Macaca mulatta: one gene and its partners. The protein of the gene in region 6 purifies or fractionates together with the protein of the main gene of each other region. This does not show direct contact. Links are inferred from orthologs where the notes say so. Each region holds a gene or a part of one and is shown on either strand. Other genes may lie near its edges. The genes, in order: NAPA, USE1, SEC22B, NBAS, SCFD2, STX18 and SCFD1.

The links.
Region 1: the proteins of STX18 (region 6) and NAPA purify together in Homo sapiens (affinity purification with mass spectrometry; 4 studies listed by BioGRID and IntAct, with this or other methods). This does not show direct contact. The link is inferred for Macaca mulatta from reciprocal best matches to the Homo sapiens genes STX18 and NAPA.
Region 2: the proteins of STX18 (region 6) and USE1 purify together in Homo sapiens (co-immunoprecipitation; 4 studies listed by BioGRID and IntAct, counting the BioPlex papers as one, with this or other methods). This does not show direct contact. The link is inferred for Macaca mulatta from reciprocal best matches to the Homo sapiens genes STX18 and USE1.
Region 3: the proteins of STX18 (region 6) and SEC22B purify together in Homo sapiens (affinity purification with mass spectrometry; 5 studies listed by BioGRID and IntAct, counting the BioPlex papers as one, with this or other methods). This does not show direct contact. The link is inferred for Macaca mulatta from reciprocal best matches to the Homo sapiens genes STX18 and SEC22B.
Region 4: the proteins of STX18 (region 6) and NBAS purify together in Homo sapiens (co-immunoprecipitation; 5 studies listed by BioGRID and IntAct, counting the BioPlex papers as one, with this or other methods). This does not show direct contact. The link is inferred for Macaca mulatta from reciprocal best matches to the Homo sapiens genes STX18 and NBAS.
Region 5: the proteins of STX18 (region 6) and SCFD2 purify together in Homo sapiens (co-immunoprecipitation; 3 studies listed by BioGRID and IntAct, counting the BioPlex papers as one, with this or other methods). This does not show direct contact. The link is inferred for Macaca mulatta from reciprocal best matches to the Homo sapiens genes STX18 and SCFD2.
Region 7: the proteins of STX18 (region 6) and SCFD1 purify together in Homo sapiens (affinity purification with mass spectrometry; 5 studies listed by BioGRID and IntAct, counting the BioPlex papers as one, with this or other methods). This does not show direct contact. The link is inferred for Macaca mulatta from reciprocal best matches to the Homo sapiens genes STX18 and SCFD1.

Annotation. Positions count from the first base shown.
Region 1 is NC_133424.1:59,984,924-59,988,944, forward strand, and holds the end of NAPA (alpha-soluble NSF attachment protein), read right to left. Parts: intron 3,233-4,021; coding exon 3,164-3,232; intron 2,297-3,163; coding exon 2,246-2,296; intron 1,254-2,245; coding exon 1,152-1,253; 3' UTR 501-1,151; downstream 1-500. UniProt on the Homo sapiens protein: Required for vesicular transport between the endoplasmic reticulum and the Golgi apparatus. Together with GNA12 promotes CDH5 localization to plasma membrane.
Region 2 is NC_133424.1:17,695,893-17,699,930, reverse strand, and holds the start of USE1 (vesicle transport protein USE1), read right to left. Parts: upstream 2,801-4,038; 5' UTR 2,754-2,800; coding exon 2,652-2,753; intron 2,360-2,651; coding exon 2,310-2,359; intron 2,172-2,309; coding exon 2,093-2,171; intron 1,996-2,092; coding exon 1,843-1,995; intron 708-1,842; coding exon 698-707; intron 1-697.
Region 3 is NC_133406.1:120,112,247-120,116,225, reverse strand, and holds the start of SEC22B (vesicle-trafficking protein SEC22b precursor), read right to left. Parts: upstream 2,801-3,979; 5' UTR 2,668-2,800; coding exon 2,593-2,667; intron 1-2,592. UniProt on the Homo sapiens protein: SNARE involved in targeting and fusion of ER-derived transport vesicles with the Golgi complex as well as Golgi-derived retrograde transport vesicles with the ER.
Region 4 is NC_133418.1:109,389,325-109,393,554, reverse strand, and holds the start of NBAS (NBAS subunit of NRZ tethering complex), read right to left. Parts: upstream 2,801-4,230; 5' UTR 2,779-2,800; coding exon 2,662-2,778; intron 179-2,661; coding exon 124-178; intron 1-123. UniProt on the Homo sapiens protein: Involved in Golgi-to-endoplasmic reticulum (ER) retrograde transport; the function is proposed to depend on its association in the NRZ complex which is believed to play a role in SNARE assembly at the ER. Required for normal embryonic development.
Region 5 is NC_133410.1:80,243,676-80,247,175, reverse strand, and holds part of SCFD2 (sec1 family domain-containing protein 2), read right to left. Parts: intron 1,838-3,500; coding exon 1,662-1,837; intron 1-1,661. UniProt on the Homo sapiens protein: May be involved in protein transport.
Region 6 is NC_133410.1:8,445,765-8,449,724, reverse strand, and holds the start of STX18 (syntaxin-18), read right to left. Parts: upstream 2,801-3,960; 5' UTR 2,783-2,800; coding exon 2,615-2,782; intron 1-2,614. UniProt on the Homo sapiens protein: Syntaxin that may be involved in targeting and fusion of Golgi-derived retrograde transport vesicles with the ER.
Region 7 is NC_133412.1:103,727,383-103,731,634, reverse strand, and holds the start of SCFD1 (sec1 family domain-containing protein 1), read right to left. Parts: upstream 2,801-4,252; 5' UTR 2,789-2,800; coding exon 2,731-2,788; intron 1-2,730. UniProt on the Homo sapiens protein: Plays a role in SNARE-pin assembly and Golgi-to-ER retrograde transport via its interaction with COG4. Involved in vesicular transport between the endoplasmic reticulum and the Golgi.

The DNA of each region.
Region 1 (4,021 bases), on a different chromosome or scaffold from region 6:
ACTCCCCAGACCCACTCGGGCCTCAGACTCTGCCCACCAAAGCCGCTTCCTCCCCCGTCCTGTGACAGATGGAACAACTGTCACCGGGGCGTTCAGCCTTCCTGCCAGGGAAATGTGGACATGGGAGATTCGGCGAGCTTCCACCCATTCTCATCCAAAGCAGTCATGAGGATTGTCATATTCGACCCTCCCACTGGCTCTGAGGGGTGGCATCATCACCATGCATCCCAGTTGAGGAAACCAAGGTCCCTGGACCCCAAGAACCCAGAGAAAGTTAGATCAAGATGGGCGCTCTGGGACTTCCAAGCCAGAGCTCCTCCCCAGGCCCACCATCCCTGGGTCTCCCCAACCTAGAAACTGACCCAGCCCACACGTGTTTCAAGGATGCATGCTCCCAACCTCCCAAGAGCTTGCCCAGAGTCTGGGGGACCAGGAGTGTGAGGAGAACAGGTGACCGGCCCAGGGGCAAAGTGGGTAGCAGAGACAAGGAGGAAGAGAGACTCATGCAAAAGTGTTGTTTTTTATTTTCTTTCTCGGGCCAGCTGCAGCTTCCAACCAAGAAAACCTCAAAGCATTAGGGAAGGAGCAGGTGTGGGGCTGGGGTCGGGGACAACCCCCTAAGCTCCAGGGCCCGGGGTCTAACCTGAGAGGTCGGGGCTGCAGGAGGCTGGGGGAAGCTCCCAGAGTTTGGGGGAAGAGGAGCTTCCCCCCGTAGAGACAGCAAGTCTCAGCGGCTACATGTGCTTTAGAGCTTGGCTGGGGGACAAAAGTGGGAGAGACAGAAACCGGCCTCATGAATCAGCTGGTCAGGAGATGGGGGGCCAGATGCTGACCCCAAACCCCCGGCAGCACCCCTAGCAAATAGGTCTGTATCAAAGATTCTGTACAGCTGGTTTTGGGGGTGAAGGGCACCTATGGGGGCTTAAATAAATGGGCAGGGAGCAAGGGATGTAGCGAGAGCAGAGGGTGACTGTCCAGCCAGCAGCCTGGGCCTCTGGTGCCCCCGCATGCTGACCCCCGCTGCCACCTGCCCACTGTGGCCTGCGGGACTCCCCAGGTGGGAAAGGAGGGAAGCTCTCCAGCAAGTCTCGGCCCCACCTCTCTCTAAGCAGATGGGACACGAAGACGGGCGCTGGGAGGCTGGGTGGGGCTTAGCGCAGGTCCTCCTCGTCGCCCTGGATGGTCTTCTTGATGCGCAGCAGCATGGTGGTGAGCCACTGGTCCAGCCGGGAGATGGAGTCATATTCCTTCACCTGAGGGCACACCAGGTGATGGGCTGGCCATGCTCCTCCCTGTTCCCAACCCTGCAGCCCAAGGGCACTTGTCTGAAGGTTTTCAAGATCTGTCCCTGTCACCCTGGTCTCTGAGAAGGAGCAGAGGGAGGGCTCGAGGCCCCGACTCAGCCAGGGGAGCTCCTTCTTGTCTGTCTTGACTATGCTAGGCACAACATTTCCCTTGGGGGAGAGGGATTGTAGCTTTAAAAAAAAAAAAGGTCCAGCATCCTCATTGAATGGGTGGGAAACTGAGGCCTGGAGATACGGAAAAGGCCACTCCTGAGTGCCATGGGGCATGGGAGAGAGAAGCCGCAGCCTGCTGGGCATCCCCTCCCTGAGCTCCTGGCTGAGTTGCCACCCACTGTCCGGGGCAAGAGGAACCGGATGGCATTTGCTCGCTGTCCTCAGCTAGGGGCTTCCATTCCCAAGGGGCACCTGGGGAGAAATGCTTGACATGTGCCATTAGAGGAGCGAATCAGGACCTATAAGCCGGACGCCACTGAGCCCAGGAACGCTGGGAACAGAGAAAGGGAAGGGAGAGAGAGCCACGTGGGCGGCTCCACCAGGCAGAGGGAAGCTGGCGCCTCTCCCGTGTCCTCAGCTCCACTCTCCTTCTCACCCTTTCCCTCCCAGTCTGTGCCTCCTGGGTGCCCAAGGCGGCCACTGTGAGTCTCACACACTCAACTGGGGGACTCAAGGAACCCTGGTCTTCAGGAGCAGACAGATGTGGCTCTGAACACCAGCTCTGCCCCTGAGGTGCCAAGGCCACCATCTGTAAAATGGGGAAAACACTCCCTGCATCTCTTGGGGCTACTTGTGAGGTTTCTGGGGTGAATGGAGAAAGAAATTCACAGTGGGCTGGGGGCCAGATAAAAATGGGTGAATGTCAGGGGAGAGCATGTCTGAGAAGGGCGGCTTTCCTAGGGGACCCATCCCTGTGAAGGGGCCTGACCCCCATGCGGGCCACTCACCGACTCGGTGTAGCTGTCCACATTCTGCTCCTCGTGGGCCTCTAGCAACTTCTGCAAGGAAATGGCAGAGAGGGGTCTGGGGCCCAGGCTGACCTGAGGTCGGCCTGGATTAGATGAAAGCACACACTATCTATATGCCAGGCCTGGGGCTGGGGTTTCCTGAGGACTCTCAGAGGGTCAGTCCATGTGGGTTAAACTGGGGACAGGTAGGGGCGTGTTGCAATCCTGCTGCCCTACTCATCAGAAACGGCTAGCTCTCAGGGCAACCTTACCAACATAGAACATCACACAGAATGTGTGTGTGTGTGGATATGTGGTGTGTCTGTGGTGTGTGTGTCTGTGGTGTTTGGTGTGTGTGTGGTGTGTTTGGTGTGTGTTATGTGTGTGAGGTATGTCGTGTGGTGTGTGTTATGTGTGTGAGGTATGTCGTGTGGGGTGTGTGTCGTGTGTGGTATGTGTGGTGTCGTGTGTGATGTGTGTGGTGTGTCGTGTAATGTGTCGTGTGTGTGTGTGTGGTGTGTGTAGTGATTGTGTGAGGTGTGTGTCGTGTGTGGTGTGTGTGTAGCATGTGGTGTGGTGTGTGTAGTGTTTGGTGTAGTGTATGTAGTGTTTGGTGTATGTGGTATGTGTAGTGTGTGGTGTACGTAGTGTGTGTGGTGTGGTGTGTGTGTGGGATGTGTGTCATGTGCATGTGGGGTGTGTGTGTGTGTGTTCACCCAGCCATCCCGAGCTCCAGCACTCCCCAAGTTGTACTTTCTTTATCTGAAAAATGGAGAGTCAAATGGCCAAAGAAAAGAAAACAAAATAAACATACCCTCTGAGAACCACTGGACAAGTCTTGATGATTGTCCCACCTGGAGCCCCGGCCACCCCCATCTGGGGTTCGGGAAGGGGGAGGCTGGAGCACCCAGCACTTACTTTCATCAACTTGCATTCCCGGGAATCAGAGAAAGCTGGGAACAGCTCCTCATACTTCTGGACAGCCAGCTGGGCAGCAGGGAAGGGGGAGGATGAGTTAGTAACAAGAGGGCCCTCAGAGCTGCTGGCCTAGCAGCCGAGGGGACTTGGGGATGTCTGGTGATACTGAGTCAGCTCTTTGCGCCCCTCCTCTAGCCTCAGGTGTCACCTGGCTCTGTTTGTCAGTACCTTCCCGCAGCTGAGCTCAGCACCAGCCTGGCTGGCAGAGACGGCTGCAGGGAGAGGTGGGTGGAGGGGGAAGGCTCCTCAGACAGGTACCCACTGCCTCCTCCCACCTGGCTCAGCTGGGGCAGGGGACAAATGAGCACATCCTCCATGGCAGGCCTGGGGCTGGTGCTTCTTGAGGACCCTGAGAGGGTCAAATAACGGTGAGCCCCTTTTTGAAAGTGAGGGAACAGATCCAGAGGGGGCAGTGACCTGCCCAGGGCACGGTGAGACATGGGGTGGGAATGTGAACCTGGTCTGACAAAGCCCAAGCTTTTGCCCACCACCGGTGCCCACAGCAGAGCAGGGCTCTATGGGGTGTGTGTGTGGGGGGTGTGTGGGGCCATCACCCCAGGCCGTGAGGCAGGGGTTTGGGCAGCCAGGGACACCAGGAAATCCTGGACTCCATGCTTCTGCCAGGCAATGGCAGGAAAACTCCAGCCAAGCAAAATCTAGCACCAACCCTCCAGCTCCTTCCCTCTGGCCACGTCCCCTCCCACTGCCCTCTCTGGCCCCTCTTTTGCCAAGCGCCCCGAAAATAGGTGGGCATGTGAGCTACAGCTAAAGTCGTGACAACGGGAGTCACAAAGATCT
Region 2 (4,038 bases), on a different chromosome or scaffold from region 6:
CTAGCCTTGGTCCCATAGGCTGGGCGTGCCTAGCTTTAACAAATTTATCTATTTGCTTATTTTTGAGATAGAGTCTTTCTCTGTCAACCACGCTGGAGTGCACTGGCACGATCTCAGCTCACTGCAACCTCCCCCTCCCAGCCTCAAGCAATCCTCCTGCCTCAGCCCCCCAAATAGCTGGGACTATAGGTGTGCGTCACCACACCTGGCTAATTTTTTTCCTTTTTTTTTTTTTGAGAGGGAGTCTTGCTGTGTCACCCTGGCTGGAGTGCAGTGGTGTGATCTCAGCTCATTGCAACCTCCACCTCCTGGGTTCAAGCAATTCTCCTGCCTCAGCCTCCTGAGGAGCTGGGACTACAGACAGGCGGCACTGCATCCGGCTAAGTTCTGTATTTTTAGTAGAGACAAGGTTTGGTCATGTTGGCCAGGCTGGTCTCAAACTCCTGACCTCAAGTGATCCACCTGCCTCAGCCTCCCAAATTGCCGGGATTACAGGTGTGAGCCACTGTGCCCGGCAGGAGTGCCTAGCTCTGTTTCCTCTCGGGGTCATTTCCTCTGTCCTGGCTCTTCCTCCACGTGTAATTTGGTTATGTTGCTGTTGGAGTCAGGCTGGGCATGGAGGCCCCAGGGCAGCAAGGATGTATGTCTTGTCCTAGGCAGCTGGCCCTCAAGTCCTGTTGTGTTCATGGTGACTCACCTGCAGAGTCCTGTGGAAAGAAGTAAGTGGCATGAGACTGGGTGCGGTGGCTCACTCCCAGCACTTTGGGAGGCCGAGGTGGGCAGGTCACCTGAGGTCAGGAGTTCGAGACCAGCCTGGCCAACGTAATGAAACCCCATCTTTACTAAAAATACAAAAAATTAGCCAGGTGTGGTAGGGGTGCCTGTGATTCCATGGCTCAGGAGGCTGAGGCAGAAGAATCTCTTGAACCCAGGAGGCGGAGGTTGCAGTAAGCCGAGATCGCCCCACTGCACTCCAGCCTCGGCAACAAGAGTGAATCTCCATCTCAAAAAAAAAAAAAAAAAAGTAAATGCCATGAAGTCACCCCCCTTGTCTTGTTCCCAAACCTGTCCCTTCTGATCTCAACCTTTTCACCTTCAGTCAGGACATGGGGAAATCCCATGACCTCTGAGCCTGTTTCCTCAACTATAAACTGGTAACAACCACTCATATATATATATTTTTTGAGATGGAGTTTTGCTCTTATTGCCCAGGCTGGAGTGCAATGGCTCAATCTTGGCTCACCGCTACCTCTGCCTCCCAGGTTCAAGCGATTCTCCTGCCTCAGCCTCTTGAGTAGCTGGGATTACAGGCATGTGCCACCACGCCCAGCTAATTTTGTATGTTTAGTAAAGACGGGGTTTCTCCATGTTGGTCAGGCTGGTCTCTAACTCGCGACCTCAAATGATCTGCCCGCCTTGGCCTCCAAAGTGCTGGGATTACAGGCGTGAGCTGCCGCGCCCCGCCACAACAACTCATATTTTAAAAGATTGAGCTGATCCACATAAAGTGCTCAGAAAGGAACTTGTCATCTTCTCTTACAGCTGAAGAAACTTTCGTGTCTTGTAAGTTGCAAGCCAGGACTCAAACCCTGCTCTTGGGCCAACTCTGGGGCTTAACCTGACACGTTCCATTTTTGCCTTGTACCAAATTTGCTATTCATCTAGCAAAGCCTTAGCCACAGTGCCCCTCTGTTGGGCGGCCTTGTGTGATGACCCAGGGAAGCGATTGCTGGACCCCCTCAGAGCCCCTGTATCTGACAGTATTGTGGTTCCGGCTGCCTGCAGGCATAGAACCCCCGTCCCTGTCCAAGGGGTTCCCAGGGACCAGGAAAGGAGCCCTACCGTGCCTAGTAGCTCACTCCGCATCTCGCTGGTGTACCGCGCCCGTGACTGCAGATGCACCGTCTTTGTGGCGGGCACTCGCTCTCTGGCTGTGGTTGGCACACGGCCAGGGGCCAGGAACTGGTTGGCCAGTGCTTTCTCTGAGGAGGAGGTCTGCAGAAATGTGGGAAGAGAAGTCACTGGAGGGGCAGGTCCTGGGGACGAAAGTGAGCGGTGATGGGGGCTGAGGGGGAGGGGCACCCCTTCTCACCAGCTTCTCGGCTTGCAGCATCCCCTTCAGAAAATCCACCTTCCAGGAATATTCATTGATCACCTCAGAGGCCGGTTTGCTGGGAGGTAGGAAGAAGAAAAAGAAAGCCTGTCCATGGTCCCCAGCTCAGGGAAGGGTCCCAGCTGGGACAGCGGTACTGGGATGTCCCAGAATAGCCACGTGCTGATGTGAAAGCAGTAAGGCTGCCTGCACTCACCTCGCGTGGACCTTCAGGGCCTGCAACATGTCCTCCAGGGCTCCCACGTACTGGGGAGGAAAAGTGGATTGTCACCCGGGGGTCGTTCCCACGTCCTGCTCATGGGAGTGGGGGGCGGGGCCGACAAATGGGAGGGGTCAAGCGCAAAGGAGGCGGGGCCAGTGGGGGAGGGGCGGAGTCCCAGGGACGGGGGCGGAAGCTACAGGTAGACGTGGCGGGACTGACCGGAAAGGGCGCTGCCCGAGAGGCTACTGGGGCAGGGGAGTCCGGCTAGGTGGCTTCCAACCCTAGGAACCACCCCCCGGGAGTCGGACTCTACGCGGCAGTGCGAGATCCCCTCACCTTCTCCAGGCGCCACTCGTCCGGGTCCCGTTTCTCCGCTGCCATCGCCTCGCAGCGGGATAGTAGCCGCACCAGGTTCAGCTCCAGCCTCGACGCCGCCATTATCGCCCGGCCCTACCCCGCCCCTTCCGCCGGCGCCATGTTAAGAGAGGGCGGAAGTGCCTTCAAGTGGCCTTCCGGGCGGATGTTTCGCCTGCTCCCGTTCGCTGGCCCATCTTTGTTTGGAGCAGAAGTAATACCTTGTTTTGAGGCGGGGCGCTGGGCCGGGCGCGCTGCCTCAGGGCTGTAATGCCAGCATTTTAGGAGGCGGAGTTGGGAAAGGATTGCTTGAAGCCAGGAGTTCGAGGCCAGCCCGGGCAATATAGCGCGACCCTACCTCTATTTAAAAAAAAATAGGAGAGAGGGCCGGGCGCGGTGGCTCAAGCCTGTAATCCCAGCACTTTGGGAGGCCGAGACGGGTGGATCACGAGGTCAGGAGATCGAGACTATCCTGGCTAACACGGTGAAACCCCGTCTCTACTAAAAAATACAAAAAACTAGCCGGGCGAGGTGGCGGGCGCCTGTAGTCCCAGCTACTCGGGAGGCTGAGGCAGGAGAATGGCGTGAACCCGGGAGGCGGAGGTTGCAGTGAGCTGAGATCCGGCCACTGCACTCCAGCCTGGGCGACAGAGCGAGACTCCGTCTCAAAAAAAAAAAAAAAAAAAAAAAATAGGAGAGGCGCCACCCCATTCTTTCTTACTCAGGCGAATCACTTCCTTTTCTTCGAGAGCGTGTTAACCCTTCGGGAATGATAGGACGACCGGGATCTTCGGGTGTCAGACCCCCCTGCACTGTGCCCTCTTGTTCTGTTTTGCTTGCTCGAAGTACCTCCCCCCACCCCACTACTACCTGGATTCTTCCCAGTCGGAGCTGTTTCACCTCCGCGGGCCCTTCCCGATTTCTCTTGTAGGAGGGGCTCTAGCCTGGAATTCAGGAATCCAAGGCTTCCCCCACCTCAGCGGGGCTCATCTGTATTGTGGTTATGAGCTTCCAGGTCACAGCTCCAGCTCTGATTCCATCCCCGGCCCTGGGCGAGTTTAACTTTTCTTGATCCGTTTCTTCCCCCGGGAAATGTACAGTGTGACAGTACCTGCCTCAAGGGTGATATGGGGCAGCTCTGCCTCAGAGTGAGCAAGGTGGGGCTGGGTCCCCCCTAACGCCCAGACCCCCGTGGAGAGAACCCCTTCCCAGCCCACCTCATTACCTGGAAGCTGAGTACCCCTATGCCTGCAGTGCCACGCTTCTGGAGTGAGAGGATGAGGGTGGGGGCTTCACAGGGACCAGGGCCTGGCATGCAGCCCTCATGTTTTCCCATACCTTAGATCATCTGTACCTTGGTCACACCAGT
Region 3 (3,979 bases), on a different chromosome or scaffold from region 6:
ATTGAATTATTTGGCCTGGACAATTAAGGTGCTTAAATATAAAACTGTTTGGTTGAGATACCTGTTTATTAAAAAGTGATTCCTGGACTCCTAAGAGGTTAAGGCATCATGAAAAGGCCTTAGAACAAGGCAGTAAAGTACAGTGGTTAGGCACTAAAGCTCTAGTCGACTCAGACAATACTTAATAAAAATCACTGGATCTCAGTCGGGGTGATTTTGCCCCCATGGGGCATTTAGCAATGTCTAGAAATATTTTTGTTGCCACACAAACAAACGAAGTGGGGAAGGGTGGTGGTACTACTGGCATCTAGAGGGTAGAGGCCAGGGATATTGCTGGACCTCCCACACAATATACAGGACAGTTCCCAAGAACAAAGAATTATCCATCCCCAAATGTCAACAGTGCCAAGGTGACAAACCCTGATGAAAAATTTCATTATGCCACTTATTAGCTGTGTGAATTTAGGCAAGCGATCTATCCTCTCTAAACCTCAGAGCTTCCTTATCTATAATTGGAGATTTTAATAGTACCTATTCTAATATGGTAGTATGAGGATTAAATTTAAAAATGCACTTTATAGGCTTAGCACAGTGTTTGGTATGTAGTAGGCACTTTTATAAATGTTATGTATACTATTAAAATAGTAAATTAAGTCTAAGATTCAGATTTTTACAGACATTAAAAGTTTAGGCAAACTTTATTATTCAAAGTCAAAACTCCTAAAGGAAAATATTATGGCACTACAATCACAAAAATATTTGTGTGTAAAATTTCTTTCCTTGTCAATTAAACAAAGCCATCCATCTTGATAAACCAATATGAAATCAATACCAAATTTAGAATTAAAAAACAATAAATCAATTAATTTTCAAAAAGTATCACGTTAGAGAGTAGGGGCCACTAATATTAAGTAGACTTTCCAGTTCACTTTGTATTCTTTGCCCACACTGGAATTCAATGCCATAGTTTAAAAATTGACCAGATTCCATCCCTGCTACTCCCAACACACACCCACCCACTATAGGAAAACTATTTTTTAGTCAAACTACACATCCTTCAAGGATATTTCCCTACACTATCTACTTTGTTCAAATCATATTCCTAGGTTCACTGGAACAATTACATTCCTTCTGCAGGATGGTCCTAGAATATTCCTGAAAAACATTTCACATTAGCAAATCAGGGTATGTTAAATTGTTCACAGTTTATTTCAAAGATTAGACTTTGTTTTTATGAAATGAATAGAATATATTTCACTTAGCATGACCTGCAACTTGATTATCTGTATCACCACTCTCCTAAAAGTGAAAGTAAATACATTTCCAAATCAAACCTAAAAAGGCATATAACTAAAGAGAATAGTTCCTTACTACTGGATCCTACTGTTACCTTAATGTCATACCTTCTGGGAAGACTTTCCTCATTTCCTAAAACCAACTTAGATACATTTTCCATGTTCGACAAAACCCTCTTCCTTCTCCTTAGCAGTTAAACTACATTTTAATAGTATATTGGTTATCTGATTTTTCCACTAGACTGTAAGCTCCACAAAGGTAGAGACTGTGTACTCTAACCCCCTGCATTAACACTATGCCTGGTACATTTGATGTGCTCAGTAAAATTTTTTTTGCATTAATATATGAATGAAAAGTCCAATAGAAGAAATGTGCAACCTATTTTTTCTATATCTCATCTTTTTTTAAGGCTCAAGGTTTTAAAACACTACTTAGACTGTATGAAAAAGTAAAATAAAATTGATCACTTTAAACAAATTATATAAATTCCATTGTCAGTTTTGTCTTCAGAACCTCCCAAGCTTGCTCCAGAAATTTGTCTTCAGAAATTTCCACTGTGATTCTAAAACACAAAACAGCTTTCTTTTAAGACGCCTGGAGTTATTGCTGTTTTTAATCAATTCAATATATTTTTGAGCACCTACTAGCATAAAGCAGCCATTGTAAAAGGTATGAATAACAGAGATGATTAAGATCCGTCGTTTGCCCGCTAGGAAACTCAAGTTATTGAAAGACAAAAAAATAAGTTACAATGTATTGCAGGAATGTGGTACGGCGTATTGGAGAAGGTGGGAACTGGGAATAATCCTGAAAGAATGTGCTGTACTGAACTTTAACAAGTGCTTTTATGTGGCAATATTACCTCACCCACTTTCAAAAGACGTCAGCAAGCTAGGTCAAGGATCAGGTGCTACGTTATAGAGTTGAAGAACTTGGCTGATTTGTCCCAGGATTTATCCGTCAGCAGTCCTATTAGCAGCAGAAAATTAGAAATCCTGATTTTTAACAGTCCCTAAAGAGTCAAAGAACACTGGGTGATCACAATCAACCAAAGCTATCACTTCTCCAGAGCGTTTTTCTAAAGAGAAACAGGTAACACAAAAATCTGAACAACTCCTTCAGGAAAGATTCCTCTCACCGGTAGTCTCTCCCACACCAAAAGATAAAATAGCACTTCAGAGAGGTCGGGAGTGCCCGAGAAGTCACAGAGGTCTCTCGGCCCTAGGAAGGAATGCGATGCTGAGGGCAAAGCGCGCTGGCAGACTTGGGGTCGCGGGGATCTAGTAAGCAGCTCACCTGTTCGTCCTCCTGCATCGAGGCGGCCAGCGGGAGCCCGTCCGCCACTCGGGCGATCATTGTTAGCAACACCATCTTCACAAATTACAGGGATCCAACACTGGCCCGGAAGGCCGTTGGTGTCGTCCTCACTTCCTCCGCCGCGACAACAGTTATTCCCTATGTCTCAGTTACCGGAGATCCAGCTGCTTGCGTCTCCGCTTCCCGCTGAGGTGGCCGGAAACAGCGCAAGAGCTTTCCACTACCGGTCCCCAGAATTGGCTTCCCTCAGAGAACCACAACCATCAGAACACTGGTTCCGCGATCTGCCTTCCACCTTCTTAAACTTCCAAGGTCTGGCCGGCTTTTCTGAATTTGGGGCTTCGAATAAGCCTCGCCCTTTGAGGGGCATTGCACCCAAGCTGAATCAGAATTTTCTAGTTCTTGAAACTAAGTCTTGGGAGAGAGCTGGGAAGGAGGGTGGGAGTTAATGGGTACTCCCCATTAACCATTAACCGTTAACCATGAAAGGTATGTAAAAAAAATGAAAACCCTGAAAATTAGGCTAGTTTCATATTTTTTTCTATTTTCTATGTTATATATTCTATAAAATTTTCTATATGTATTTCTGGACAAAGATTTTTGTCTATTTTTGCTTGTTTGTTTATGCGGCATCCCCACCAGGCTCCTTAAATAGTTTATGGTAAGAAGTCAATAAATATTTGTTGTATGTGTGAATAAATGAACAAGTACAGGACATCTTTTACCACCTAGGTCAGTCAGCCTACAAAAAGCTAGGATCAGGCCAGGCGCGGTGGCTCACGCCTGTAATCCCAGCACTTTGGGAGGCCGAGGCGGGCAGATCACGAGGTCAGGAGATCAAGACCATCCTGGCTAACAGGATGAAACCCCGTCTCCATTAAAAATACAAAAATTAGTCGGGCGCGGTGGCGGGCATTTGTGGTCCCAGCTACTCGGGAGGCTGAGGCAGTTGAATGGGGTAAATCCGGGAGGCGGAGCTTGCAGTGAGCCGAGGTTGCCCCACTGCACTCCAGCCCGGGTGACAGAGAAAAAAAAAAAAAAAAAGCTAGGATCTCTTATATATCTAGGTGTTCCCATCTCTTTGTTCTTTGGTGTCCCCATCTCTACAGTGGGGATATTATCGGCCTTTCAGGGTTTTAATGAATATTAGATGAGAAAATCTAGGTGCAAGGGTTTCATAAGCTAAAACAAGAATCATACAAATGCTTTTATTTATCATTACTTAATAATGACTACTCTTTACTAAGTGCTTACAGTTAGTTCTCACATTAATAGAAACACTGTTAAGTATATTCTAGATATTAATTAAGCAACCCAGTAAGCTTGTTTAGTATTGTATCTCCAGTTTGTAGTTGAGAGGAAAGCC
Region 4 (4,230 bases), on a different chromosome or scaffold from region 6:
TATATATATATATAATTAAACTCAGATAACACGTCACTTTTATTAGTCTCCACACCAGAAGTCTAAAGAACACATTTTAACTGTTAACCATATCATTACTGTAGAGAAATAAGCTATATTTACCTCGAATTGCTTTCGTGATGATAAAGGATGCACCATGCTTTCGGTTGCCTCTAGGCTGGAATTTAAAACAAAGCCCTTACATTTGAATCCTCTAGTATTAGACTAGTATTGCTTATATAATGTAAACTTATTTTTATTTACTAATATCCAGAGTTTTGGGCACAGGGAAGCAGTGTCTTAAAACTACTTAAAGACTGAATGTGCAGGTGCAGTGGCTCACGCTTGTAATCCCAGCACTTTGGGACGCCAAAGTGGGCCAACTGCTTGAGCCCAGGAACTCCAGACCAGCTTGAGCAACATGGCAAAACCTCGTCTCTACAAAAAATACAAAAATTAGCCAGGCATGACGGTGCGTGCCTATAGTCCCAGCTACTTGGGAAGCTGAGGTGACCTGGGAGGTTGAAGCTACAGTGAGCCCTGATCATGCCACTGCACTCCAGCCTGGGTGACAGAGTGAGACCCTGTCTCAAAAAAAAAGAAAAAGGTAGACTCAGGATGGGGGACAATAGGAGTAAAGGGAGCATAGCAGAGCTACAGGCACATGTCAGGACTAACCTTGCAGGTAAGAACAAAGATTGAAGCTAGAAACTGTTTCCAAATCAAATACCAATCCAAAGACAAGAGAAGTCAAGGCCAAAGACCACACTGGTTGCCAATTCAGCACACTCTATTGAAGCTGTAAGTTTTGCTCACAGGAAAAGTGGTCATATCTCCAAGGCAAATTCATTGACTATCTGTTGTATATCCATCCAGACAATGCTACTAACAAAACATACAGCGATACGTAATTGCTATATTAAATAATTCCATTCCATAAGTATAGACTGAACACACTGTGGGTAGGTTCATGACACTAGGCACTGCATAAGGTGCACTACAGTGCTGTCAAGAAAAGCACAATGGACACACAGTAAGTGTAGACAGATTTTTTAAAAAACAGAAAAGTTATTTCACTCAACAAACAAGAATTGATGGTGGGATTCATGCAAGGCACAATTTGGCCCTGGGGAGAGATATAAAGATGAATCAGATGTAGCTGCCCTCCAAGAGCTTATAGTTCAACAGCTGAAATCAATAGAATGCAGAAATCGATAGAATGCAGAAATCAATAGAATTCCCCCACCCCCAACACATAAACACAAAACAAAGTGCTAAGGGTTTCAAAGTAAGTTAATTCTGTGGTTACTTTTTTGGAATCAATTTATGCTAAGCATTCTGAAACATTACTGCAATTAACCAATGAGTGTTAAGGAGTGGAAACTTATCTAACCAGCTGCCGCAGCAACACCTTCCTAGCTGCATAACCCAAAAAATATTCACATTAAGACAAATTAAGCACTTGAAATTAAACGGCAAAACATGCAGATCTCTACCCGTTCTACAAAATACATTATTCAAAATAAGCACAAACTGCAGTGGGAAGGAGGCTACAGGGGAAAAAAATACAAACTTTAGGCTGAAAAATGAGTCGTTTCTCCAGCAAAGAAACACTCATAAAAAAATGTAAGATAACTCATATGGGCTGGACTACATAATCTTTAATAAAGGTTCTTTTCGATCTGGCTGCTTCCTCTGGGTCCAAAACAGTAACTGGCATGTGTTAAGCACTCAATAAATATCTATTAAATAAACATGGATCCGTGGTTCCTACTCTTCACCACAGACCCGGGAGGCCCTCACTACCAAATAACTGATAATCCCAAGATCCAGTCTATAAATTATCAACCTCTATAATCCTTCTCTAGCGGAGATCCCAATCCCAGTCAGCAGTTCTTTACCCTTCACTTCCGTGGCATTTTGCTCACATCGCTAACTATAGCGCATAAAACGCTAGATTATGAATAACGTTTACAGGATTGTCTCCCCTCTAGAGGAGAAGCTCCACGAAAGCATATTTATCTCTGTATCCTCAGCACCTAGCACAGCATCTGGGACACCGAGACGGACGAACGGACACGCACACCCTTATTAAATGCTCTTTTATTGTTACACACAAGAACTGGCGCGATCCAGCCCCAGGTAGCTGTAAAGGCTCAGATTCCGCACTCTGCAGCAGCCTGCCAGATGCTGAAGACTGTAAGGTCCTGGAAAATTCTCACACCGTTAAGCGTCCGCCCGTACTAGCCCTAGCCAGACTGCGAGAAGGGACCACCGAGAGTCCAGGTAGGAGAAAGGACCCTTTAGTCCAGCGCTGTGCCTTCCCCTCCGAATACAGAGAGTGAAACTAACAATCTGCACCCCTCCGAAAACAGAGAGAAACTAACAACCAGAGTGGGATCCTACGCTCCGCAGAACACGAAGTTCCAGCCCCCAAAAACCGAATTCTGAGCCCAGGAGGAATCTCAGGGACCACGACCCCACCCCGCCTTAGGAGCCCCAGACCCCCGGTAGCCCAAGGTGCCGTTGCCAGGGCGACCACACAAGCCATCAGGCCCCCCGCCCACCCGGCTTCACTCCCCTACGTGGCTCCTGCTACGTGGCTCTGCCCACGAAGCGCCCGCGTCAAGTTGGCTGCTGCTGTAGACGGGCCTGGTTCACCTGTACTTCAGTCTCCGGTGGCCACTCGGTGTTGACCAACAAGTCATAGAGAATCGTCTCCTCCTCACCCTCTGCAGCGCTTGGACTCAAAGCCGGCCCTGACTCGGGGGCCGCCATGTTCGCCCGGGACTCAAGCAGTGGAGGAGCGCCTCTACGGAATCCCTCACAGGACAAGCTTCCCTAGCCGCGGCCGCTTTTGATTCACGGGGAAGGGAGTGGAGTGAACTGACCCTGACCGCGGCAAGGAAATGCTAGGTTAACCCTTTTATGAGTAGGAAGGACAAGGACTATTGCTTGTCTTGGGAACGACTTGTGTCCCAGTCCTGGTGCGTTCCTTGTTAATTAATCTACGTGAGATCAGCCAAGTCACTGAGCCTGTCTTATCAAGTCAGTTTCTATAAAACAGAAACGGTAAAGGTACCCCACTGAAATGCTAATGTTCATTTGTGTATTCTTTGCCTAGCACGTAGAGAGAGTTCAAACAGTGGTTTTAAAATAAGCCACCAAAGTTATCCAATGCAGGGGATCAAGCCAATGAAAGGTAACAGAGGAAGGATGCTACGGGCGCTCAGAAAAGGCAACGAAGGCCAGAGTCTGCAGGGATTTCCTAGAGGACGTGGAGCTTGTCCCTAGGTCTTTAACAACTGGCAGAATGTTAATCCACTGGAGAAGCATTTCAAGTAGGGGGAAATGGGATGAGCAGAGACAGAGGCAAAAGTACAGAGTTGAAAGAACTCTTTCAACGTGTCGCGAGTGAGCGACGACTTTCTGGGTGTGGGAGTAAAAGAATTTACCAAGACAGTAGTAGATAAAAAAAGACAGATTAAAGAAAGTATGAAAGATCGTTGCCAGGGAACAGCGCGCAGAATCAGCAGAGGAGGAGCTCATTGCTAGGAAACAAAGGCTTGTTGAGAATTTTATAGACTGGAACTTGGAGTGATTGATAACACCAAGTTAGCAGGGAGTTAACTTGCTTTTTTTTCCTTTTTTTTTTTTTTTTTTTTTTGTCAACCGAAGTGTTTGATAAATAGAGGCGTTTGAAGGTAAGCAGGAAGTTTGTGAGTTAAGTACGTTATCTGGTTAGAAGAGCCATATGTCTTGGGCCATAAAGAAAAGTAGACCTATGGCTTATTTGTTTCTTCCTTTTGTTTATATGTTTTGGACCATGAAGAAAGGCAGATGTATAGCTTATGCTTACTTGCCTTATCTCTTTGTTTTTTCCTGCTCCCACTAGCCTGCCTTTTTTTTTTTTTTTTTTTTTTTTTTTTTTTTTTTTTTTCTTTTCCTAATTAGTACTCAACAAGACAGGTGAATAGAACCCAAGTTGAGAAAGGGTGTAGGGGCAATAAAGTTTAAATAATAGGTTGAGAACCTGCATGGAGGGAGTGAAAAGGTCAACCCCATTTGTTCATTCATTCATTCATTCCACAAATACCTCTTTGTGGACAGTTATAAGCAGAGCCTATTGTAACATTAATGAATATATACTGTACAAAGTATTACACTGTTTTACATCAAAAGAAACAAATATTGAATATCCCTTGAGATAATTATATTTCATAATATCCA
Region 5 (3,500 bases), about 72 Mb from region 6:
TTCTTCTGCCTCTTGATGTATGTTTGTGACATTTTAGACATTCTGGGATAATGAAGGGAGCTCATTGACATCCTGAAGAGGACACAGCTTTTAGCCTTACCTGGTTCAACATTTTTGGCAATCTTTGGTAAACTCAACAATATATAACAGGAGACATATTCCAGAGTATTCACTGCATAATTCTTCCTAATCTCACATACATACACACCACACACACACACACACACACACACACACACACACACACGGGCACAAATGCAACAGCCTAACTAAACAACAGTACAGATTGCATAAATAAATTGTATATTTATGATGTGGTTTAAAGGAATGAGCTAGATCTACATACATCACTTTATTTATTTATTTATTTATTTATTTATTTATTTATTTTTGAGATGGAGTCTCCCTCTGTCACCCAGGTTTAAGTGCAGTGGCACAATCTCAGCTCAATACAACCTCCACCTCCCGGGTTCAAGAAGTTCTCCTGCCTAAGCCTCCCGAGTAGCTTCCTGAGTATAGATGACCACGACCACACCCAGCTAATTTTTATATTTTCAGCAGACACAGGATTTTGCCATGTTGGCCAGGCTGGTCTCGAACTCCTGACCTCAAGTGATCCGCCCATCTCAGCCTCCCAAAGTGCTGGGATTATAGGCGTGAGCCACTGCACCTAGCCCATCACTTTGGATTATCTTAAAAATAGAACCTTGAGAGAAAAAAGCAAGCTATTTAGGGATATTTATAGTATAACATCACTTATGTAAAATTAAAACCTATAGCATAAATGCTCTATATTATTTATGAAAAAGTAAATATTTAATAAAAATGTAAAAACAACGAATTGAGCTTGTAATTATCTCTAGGGAAAGAAAAAGGAAAATCAAATTAGAGATGGTTATATAGTATCAAGAATGCTTCAACTTTATCTCTAGTTTTATTTCTTTAATGAAAAAGGATCCATGACAGATATGAAAATAATGATAAATCATATTGAGTCTATGTGGAAAGTTTACAGATACTCATCGTTTTAGTACATTTATGCTTTATAATCCTCTATCCCTTTTTAAAGTACTGTATAATTTTAAAAACTACTTTATAATTTTAAAAAATACATACTACATATTTTTTGAAAAGTTTCCCATGAAAATATTTCATCAGTCATGAAAAGTTCCTATCCCACATACAAATATCTGTATAAACACTACAAATGGAGATCACTTCCTTCATTTTTTACTAAACGCCATTTTAAGGCACATGCTATGTGTTGCTTAAGGACTAGAAACTAGGTAATGTCAGAGGAAATGTGAATAGTAGTAATATGCTACAGAAAAAGTAGCAAGGATCAAATAAAGACACCATGAAGAGCGAGAAAGGTCCAAATGGCATAAAATTGAAAGAGGTTTCCAGAGGTTAGTTCAATGCTCAAAAAACATCCTTAGTATTGAATAAGAAGCCAAAGACATTACTGTCGAAATATTTTTTTAAACAGGTGTGAAAAAAGTTTCTACTTGAACTTTAACTCGGGGGCACTTAGAGAATATGAAGCAGGGCACATGTCAACAATATGATTTATTACTAAGGCTATAATAAATGTCAAAGTTTTTCCCTGGAAATCAAAACATTAATTATTAAGATCCCACGAAGTACCCACAGCAACATACCTGAAGAAGGAGTCTTTCAAAAGCGAGAAAGTTGTCCCACTTGGCAGTCTGTGGGTGTTTCAACGTTTGAGCTGTGGCCAGCCCAAGCTGGAGGAGCCCACAGTGATTCATTAGAGCTTTGAGGTTGTTCTTGAAGAGCTGAATATAGGACATGAGCTGTCCTGGTGTGACTCTCCCTGGAAAAACATAAGAATTTATCAGTGTACCCCTTTCTGGGAATAGTACAAATAATGAGAAGGATTCCATTAATAATACCACTGTTTTGTATTTGGGCAGAACATCAGAGTTGACTACAAGCTTTCCTAAGCTATTGTGATTCTTACAACTATATAGTGAAAAGAGCAATATTGGTACTATTATTAATAGTTGCATTTTGCAAGTAAAGAAACCGGGATGTTAGTTAAGGATCTGGTCAAGGTCATATTGCTAGTAGAATTCATTTTATCATTATGTAATACTCTGTAAATAAGTTTTCAAATAAAGTCATATAAATAAATATTTGTTGAGCTCAACTTGGAGTACCTCTTTATGACATATGACATAGCAACCTAAGAGGGAAAAAGGTATGATTTCTAATTGTGTGTGTATATACATAAAAGAAGATGAGAAATAGGTTATGACTGTACCTAAAACTTTGCCACTGATATCAGTGACTTCATGACAATATTCATGAGGATAAAAGCAGTTACACGGAACAAAAATGTATCAAGAACTAGGGCGGCAAAACCACTGGAAGAGGAGGTATCAGAAGAAAAGTTTGGTGTGGGTAACAGCACATTTGCTACAATGGTCACCTACATTTAGAACAAGAGAGTCCACTTCATAAAAGGACAGAGACTGTATAAAACACATGTACATCTACAAACACACAAACTGTTGAGGATTCACTCCTTCAGAGCCCCTAACTCCAAGTTTTGCCGGTAGCAGTCTTTCCACTGAGTCTCCTCCCACTCTCCAGTCTATGAAATTTCATTCCTGCCATTCCTCCATGCTATGTGCAAAGCTCCTGGACACCAGATTCTCCCCACCAGGCAAGAAGGCACTGGGGCCAAACATAGATGTAAGCCAAGTAATTCATTCCTATGTTTCACCCACGCCATGTTTGTGGGTTGTTCTTTGATACTGAAATCCAAGTTTATTTGCTTGTTATTCCGAGGTTTTTAAATATTTGGCAATGAAACCACCTGCATTTATTTAGCAATTTACACAGTGCTTACACAAACACACCCTTTACTGATTCTCATGGCAACTCCTTGAGGTAGCAAACGAGGCTTGTGCTGCGTCTACTAGCCCTGCCCGACATGCTAAGAACACAATGTCTTACCCAGTGCTAAATGGCAGATATTACTTAATAAATGGTTTTTGCTAAAAGTAAAGACCTCGCCACATGAAACTCAAATGCCTACAACATATCTTTCTATCTTTTCATTAATTTTTTGAAGAGATTAAGAATGTTTAAGTTCTTCATTACCAGTTTATCAGGGTAAGCATTTAAAGAAAAAGAACAGTGGGAATGATAAGTAGGAGAGTGAGTCTCACGAGTATCTTTAGTCCCTTGGTAAAGCATGGGTTTGCTCCTGATTCTCAAAGCAGCAAGCTAACAATTTGCTTGCTCAAGTACTCATAGAAAAAAGACCTCATAAATACTTTGATTTCTTTATCAGGTTTATTAAGGTATTTTCTACATACAGGAACATTCACCCTTTTCTAGTGTACAGTTCTATGAATATTGACAAATGGATATGGTTGGATACTACTGTCACAGTACAGAACATTCCCATCATTCCAAACAGCTCCCCTTCTTGGTAGTCCATTCACTTTCCCCAATTCCAGCCCTGT
Region 6 (3,960 bases):
TGAACCAGATTAAAACGCATCCTAGAAGTAACAGCAAATGCTTCAAGGAAGGCACTTACCAAAAGGCATACTATAACTTACTACATTTCATTAAGTCTGACAACCAGGGCTAAACCTGAATTAGAATATGTGCTTCTGGTATTGACCAGACTTTTCTGTATAAGGAATCCAGGCCAAACAAAATAACAGGCAAACTTTTGACACATCTAATCATAGTGAAAGCACAGGACATCCATCACTAGCTCTTCTAGTTAAAATTCCCACAAAAGAAGATGGGGAGTGGGGAATGGTTGGAAGAACAGGAGATAATACGCAAAGCAATGACAACACAAAATCAAAATTGCTTACAAGAATGTATGTTTCCTCTACGTCAGGGGGACAGTGTCCCTGAACAACACAGCCCATGTACTCACTTAAGGTAATGTGACACCTACTCACATCAATACATAGCAGAATTGGAAGTTTCACTGTCACGCGGTCCAAACCTATGACATATGCACAAAGTTCTTCTCAAACATCTCTGAAAAGCAGTCATCACTCTGTTTAATTACTTCCAGTGACAGGGAACTCAGCACCCTACAGGACTGTTACTGTCCCTGAGGCCCATTAACTCAAAAGTCTAAAACACATTTTCACCACTCAGGGAGCGGTGGAAGTGATCACAGGGCTATCCAAAGGGCTTGCCAACTCAACTGTGCCTCTTGTCTCGACCATTCCCAAATCCCCCCTTTCCCTGAGCAGGACTCAAAATTAGCACAGTGTTCATAAATCAGTGGTTTCAGAGTCAGAAGGGACCCTTACAACGCCAATACTGTGATATTCATACCACGGTTCTACAAAAGGAACCCCAGGAAGTGCTTAGGCCAAACTGGGAGGGAGAGTGTCCTGTTTCTCTTCCTCTCATTTCAGCCTAGGAAGCTTCCACTTTAATTTGTTATATATAGAGGACCAGGGTAGTTTTTTAAAAGGAGGAGGAGAAAAAAAAAGACCATTTACAGGTAAATAAACTGAGGTCTTGACACTTGCTTAATGAAATCATATAGCTAACAGTTGCAGGGTTCAGACAACAACCTGGTCTCCTGGCTCCTTCTCTGGTACTTTCTCTACCATATAACATCTGACGGCCTAGAGGGCAAAATTCAAACTCCGCAGTGATATACAAAGCCCTTTAAGATCTCTCCCGGTCCAATTTTTATGAGAGTCCCACATACCAGTCTCACTCAAATGTTTATTGAACCAACTTATATCAGACTCTTACACACCTCCACATCTTAGCGCATACTATTCTTTTAGCCTGAGATGCCCTTCTGCACTGCAGCCAACTAATCCTCTTTCAAGATTTGTTTTGGGCATCATCACCTCTATAAAGCCTTTTCTGATCCTCAGGTAGAACTGACCACATTCTTCTTTGTGCCCTACATAACACTTGCAAGGCTTTATGGCACTTGTTTTATGTCTATGTCCGTCTACTCCACTACTCCTTTTACATCATATTACTCTAACATGAGGCTGGTCAGAAAGTAGGTGCTTCATAGATGTTCATCAATAGGGAGAGTGTATTCATCTGGTCCAACCCCTTTCTGATGTTTAAGTATCCTCTGCTAACTGTCATTAATGCATGCATGCATACATTCATTCGAAAACATCTGAGTGTCTATGCAGTGCCAAGTGTATGCCAAGCAGAGTAGGATTTACTGTGAAATTAATGAGGTTTTAGCTTCGGGGTCCCTCACTTCCATCTTCCAAAGCTCTGAATCTCTCTTGGTGATTTTTATTTCTTAAAGACGGCAGACATAACTATAAAAACTTTCGGCCCCACAAAACCTAGATCCCTCCTTGGTGTCACGGACACAAAAGGGAACAAGACAAACATCTCTCCCCTCATGGAATTTTCTGTTTAACGGGAAAGACAGCCATTTTGTTCATTCATTCATTCAACAAACATTTACTAAGCAATGCTATGAGTCATGCATTGTGAGATGAAAACAACTGTCCCTGCCCTTAAGGAAAAGGTTCCTGTTCCCAGAGAAATGAAGGGACACCTGCTCTGATCAGGGAACAGAAAGTAGTTGAGATGACTGTAACACCGTGTTTGCGAAAGATGACCCTAAACTCGTCTCAAGAGGAACTGAGCCCTACTTATCGCGGAGACAAAGAGAAGAAAGAGTTCGGATGAATATGGTTTTTAATCTCATCTGGGGATGGGAGGCAGACAAGTAAAGAGCACAGGCAAATACGGTGTGGTCAGTTCTGCAACAGGAAGTGAAGGACAGTGAGGTTTCCCCTGAGTGCAAGTCTGTAGTGACGGCGAACTCATGACCTCACAAAGCCGCCCGTGCACTTTCCAGATAGAGATTTCTGAGGGTCTCCTTCCTCGTCCCCCAACCCCCGCCGCCGCAGGAGAAATCTGTTCCCCAATATGCGTCCCCCTTCCTTAAAATAAGGCTGTTCCTTCCCCAAAAAGCTGTCCGGTCTCTGAGGCCAACTCTCCTGTCCCCCTTGGGGCCACCTCCTTCACACAATGCTTATGGGACGGGGTGTGGTTTGGGGCTCGGGGTCCCTGTCGCAGGACTGCCCCCTCCTCAACCCGCCGTTTCCATAGCAACCAGCTCACCACTTCGCGGGCCCGGCTGGAGAAGTCGCCCTTGGGCCGGGGGCTCCGGCGGAACAGCTCATCCCGGCTTCCATCGACCCCGCCGCCCACCGCCACTCCCAGCGCCTTGTTCCGCGTCTTCACGGTCTTGACGCTGGCCCGGAATAGCAGCGTGATGTCCACGGCCATAGCGACCCGTACCCGCAGCCCCACACTGGGCCGGCTCACGTAAGCAGCCGGCGACCGCGGCGAGAACCCGGCCGCTGGAGGACTGGTCCTGCCCCGCACTCCTCCCCACCGGCAACTGCGATGCGAGAAGAAAGGTTCCGGCCTGAGCCCCGCTACCGCGGCGGGAGGAAAAAGATTCCGAACTCAGCGGCGCACCTGGCGGAGGAGGAACCCCGCGACGAGCTCACGGGCACCTCTTTCTCCCGGCAAAGCTTGGAGGGTTTAGCAGCGCGGAGAGCTCAGCGAGCTCTCCTGTGCTTTTTTGGGGCGTGTGGGCTCCGGGAGCGTGAGGACCGGGAAGCTGGGAGGCTCCTTCCCTTCTGGTGGCTCCCTCACTGAGAGCGGGCGGTTTGGTTGCGGGGGACGTGGAGGCGAGCCACCCTTGACCTTTGACTGCAAGGACTCACCTTGAGCAGGACAGAGGCACTTGGACGGTGACCCTCGGGGTGCAATAAGTGCTGAGACAGAGCAGATGTGCAAGGCATAGAGCTAGAGGCCAGAGGTCTTTCTTCTCCACCCTTCAGTCACCTCTTTGTAAAGTGAAGCCAGCATCCTCCTCGGAGTTTACTGTGAAAATTAAGTGAGCTGACGCGTGCTGTGTTTTGATGTTGCTTGGCTCCTAGTAAGTGGCCAATAAATGGTAGTAATCGTTAATAATATTATTATAATCACTCGTATTTGTGGTGATGGAAGAGGCTGTAGAGAAAAGGCGTCACCTGTGCAGAGATTTGAAGGATGAATAGGAACTTTAGATGGAGGCAAAGGTGAAAGAGTGGCCCTAATGTCGCTGGATTCTGTTCTTCCTTCATGCATAGTTTTTAATTGTACCGTCTTGAGCCATAGCTATTAAAATTGACAAGTCAGTCAATGAGTTTCTTCTGCATTTTTGGTTCATGGTTCTGTTTTGTGTTGTTTTTTGAGATGGGGGTCTGCTATGTTGCCCAGGCTGGATTGCAGTGGCTATTCAGAGGCGCCATCCTAGCTCATTACAGACTGGAACGCCAGGGCACAAACGATCCTCCGCGGCTCCGCCTCCTGAGTAGCTGGAACTGTAGGCACTTGCCACCATGGCTGGCCTAAGGATATTCAAAATCTCATTGATTTCTTCAAGATTTTTTTTTCCATAAAGAGGATGCACA
Region 7 (4,252 bases), on a different chromosome or scaffold from region 6:
TCTAATTGGGGGATAGGGAAAATAAAAAAAAGATAATAATAAGTAAAACACATGGAATGTAGATCATGGTAAGTGCTATGAAGAAAGGTAAGATTGGGAAAGAGGAAGATGGAGTTGGGGTGTAATTTTAAACAGAGTAATTGGGGAAGGCCTCCTGAGAAGGTAACATCTGAGTAAAGACCTAAAGGAAATGAGGGAGTGAGCCATGGAGATTCTCTCTGAAACAGTATTCCACAAAGAAGAAACAAATACAAAGGCTCGAAGGTGGGAGCATTCCTGGTGGGTTCAAGGAGAGGGAAGAGAAATAGGGAATGAGGTCCAAAAGCTACATGGGAACCAGATCATATAAGTAAGGCCTTGTAGAACACTGTAAGATCACTTTGGCTTTTATCATGGTTGAAATGGGAAGAAGCTGGAAGACTTTGAGCAAACATATGGCATGATCAGTTTGGGTACTGTGTGAAAAATAACGAAGGAGAACAGGATCGTAAAAGCAAGGAGACCAAATAGGTTATTGCAGAAATTCATAGTGGATAGGATCTGGAAATAGCAATGACAACAGTCAGATCCTGGATGTATTTTCAGAGTAGAACTGACAAGATTTACTGAAAGATCTTACATGAGACATGAAAGAGACAAGTCAAGAAAACTTCAAGGTTTTTGACCTGCAACTAAAAGGATGCAACTGCCATTAACTGATATGGAGCAGACTGAGTTCAGATGGGAGGGCCAGACTAGGGATATAAACCTGGGAATCATCAACATAGAGAATACTGAAAGCTAAGTTGCTAGATGCTAACACTAATGGGACCCAGCAACATTGAGAAGCAGGGAAGATGTGCAAGAACTTGTAACGAAGACGCATTCAATGAAGAACAACAGTAACACAAAGCAGGAGGCAACTGATTCTACCTGTTGAACTGAAGGTATGGATAGAGAGGACAGTAAACCTGGAAGAAAGGAGATAGCTTGTGAGCTTGTGGGATGACATTCAAAAGACCAATAAAGATTTTTCAGGCAGGCAAAGCAAGAAACAGGCATGTTAGTTTACCTCTATCTTACTTTCCTCACCTGTAAAATGGAGATAATAATACATAATCACCTAAAGCAATGCCTAACCATAGTAAATGCTCAATAAATGCTAACAATTATCTCATCCACCCAAATATTTCAGTATCGAGAATATTTGAGGATTGTGAGTTATTTCCCAAAACATTCTCAATAGGCATGAGGGAAATAGCTAATTCTGTATTACAATATATACACAAGGATTTACCTTCCTCTGAAAATGAGGCAGAATTCAATGACAGTAAAAATATGATAAAGAATAGATCTAGCACAATCTATCTAGTAATTCTGTAAAATCTCAACTATGTTCATTTCTGCAGAAATACAAACGATTAGATTTTAATGATCTACAAAGTTTCTGCATACAAGTTTACTGCCATGCAAATTTATTTTTCAAAAAGCTCTCTTGTATTGGTACAGTTTCACTGACACGTTATTTTAATATGTAGTATAGTCATCAGAAACACAGCATTAAAACAAATGGAGCTTCTATTTGCTTAAACAGATACAATGAATGGCAGGTATGCCCCAAATCTTATTTGAACTTCCCTATATTTGATTATGCCTGACTTCACCTGATAGGTTACACTAAATTATTTACTGGGAAAAGCAGAACGCAACTCAGCATCTTTTGTGTGTCATTACTAGATTGAAGTCTAACATTTTTCTTTAATTTCTTTAAATGCCAAAGAAAGGAATCAAGTACAGCCCAAATTCCTTCTGTAGGTCATATGAATTATAAATTCATTTTTCTATTCATATTTATATCCAACAGGGCATAATTTCAGCAAACAGAATTCCAAGTATGCACATGCTTGACGCCTTATTTCTATTAGCTCCTCAGAATAAATGGCTTGAAAACTTTTAAGACAACTAGTTCAACCTTTAGTTTGTAGCTCACAGGTATAAACCAAGTTGTCGTAAGTTTTCAAATAAGGCAAAACTAATTTCTAAGAGGGAAAAAACCCCAAAACTCAAGAATATGTAGCTTCTTACATTTCTCTGCATAAATACAAGCTATATAAACATGCTCTATTGAAGATAAAATATTATTTTAAAACAATAATCTGTCAAACAATTAAAATGAGAAAGCTATTAATTCAATTCCTCAATGCCTTCCAGCAAGGTGAAGGAGAAAATCTTTTATCACCAGGCATTTTTCTGCAGGTACCCCCAAAAGGCTGGTCCGAAGTAGAGAAGTGGCGCAAAGCAGGCCGCTGTGAAAATACCTAAATTCTGTAATTGTGGTGGAAGTGCCAGAAAATGGGAGTTCTCTCAAAAATCAAAACCAGAACTGAACCACGCACAGAAACAAACTCGGAGACCTCATAGGTGGCAACATAGATAAGAAGCTATCTGCTGCTAGATCTTGTTGTGATGGCCTTCTGATGCCCACTAGGAAGGAGACAAGAGCAAGGCCATAGCAATCTGCCCACCGCTAAAGCTCCTTCTCCTGCACCACAGGAGGAACCGAGTCAAGCTAATGGCATCTTCTCCCCAAAAACTCAAAGGGGAGGGGCTCTTGATGTTCTAGGGACTGGATTAAACTCCCGGAGATCGCTCTCTGAGCTGCACGCACCACGACCGAGTGAGGGCGACAAGCACAGGAGAAGAATGTCGTCGGGGCAGTCACGAAGCTTCAAGAAGAGAGTAAGTCAGTACCTGTCTGCCTTTCCCGAATACTGGCTGCTGCTGCTGTCGCTGCCGCCGCCGACGCCATCTTGACTCCCACGAGCCACTGCCCGGCTGGCGAGCGGAGCCGGGGGATGACGTGGCTGCCCTTACCGCCCCGGAAGCAAAGCCCGGAAGGGCGGGGCAAAAGGGCGTGCCTGAGGGCCGGACTCCACCTCCTCGAGGAAGACCTCCACTCTCGATAGAACTGGGAGAGCCGGTGCAGGTTAACTCAGTGGCCCGTAATGTTAGCCGAATACTACGAGTTTTTATCCTGTCTTATCAAGCCACACTCTCTCAAATGGTAGCAACATTAAATTGAACTCTTAGGGTAGGAGCGTGTAGTGCTAAGAACCTAATTACTGAACTGTTGGCTTGGTGGCTTACAGAGCACTGACGGGGTGATAATACTCTAGGAGTATAAGGACCACAGGACTGAAGTAAATGAAGCTCCTGAAACACAGGCAACATTTTAACGTTAGCTCTAGTTTCTCAGTGCAGCAGGAGTCTTCCCTTTGCTCCTTTTTCCAGAGAAACAGAAAGCATTGGAGCTTCACTCTAATCTGGCATATTTCTCAGTCGCATCTCTTAAAAAAAAAAAAAAAAAAAAGGGTCTAGCTTTATGGTGGCGTTCTGCCGGCATGGACACGGGATCCAGGGAGGTACAAAATGAGAAATTAGCATCTCTCCTCTTTCCTTGTAGTAATTGCAAAATCACATTGCCGTGGGAAGGAAGTTGCCCAGGCTCAAGTGCGCAATCAGGGCTCACTGCAGCCTCAAATTCCGACTGTCAAACGATCCTCCTGCTTCAGCCTCCCAAGTAGCAAGGGACTACAGCGGCACACCATCAGGACAGGCTGATGTGCTGGTTTTTTGTTGTTGTTGTTTTTGAGATAGTATCTCACTCTGTCGCTCAGGCTGGAGTGCAGTGGCAGAGTCTCAGCTCACTGTAGCCTCGACCTTCTGGACTCAAGCAATCCTCCCAAACTATCCTTCCACCTCAGCCAACCCAGTAGTTGAGACTACAGACAGGTGCCACCACGCCCAGCTAATTTTTTTTTTTTTTTTTTTTTTTTTTTTTTTGTAGAGACGGGGATTCAGCATGTTGGCCAGGCTGGTCTTGTGCTGGCTGTTTAATGTACACTTGAAGCCACATGACCACAAAATTTACGGGATTTCTAACTTAATCTATAGATTTTACTGTATGACAAAAATGGATACACAATGACAGCTCATTTCCCGAGTTCATTGATGACACTTCATTATGAAGCTGCACCAAATTCTGAAATGAAATCAGACTCTGCCTCAAAAACTTGACTTTCAAAATTATATAAATGAAATGAAGTTAGCCTAACGATTATGTAAGACTGTTTTATAGTGTGAAACAATGGCTTTTTTCATTAATAAAAACTTTATTTTTGTGACATTTAAAATAGGTTATCTTATTTTTAATGCTATTAGGAAACATCCTAGCATTCGACCTACAATCTTTACCTTTTAAGAATTACATAAT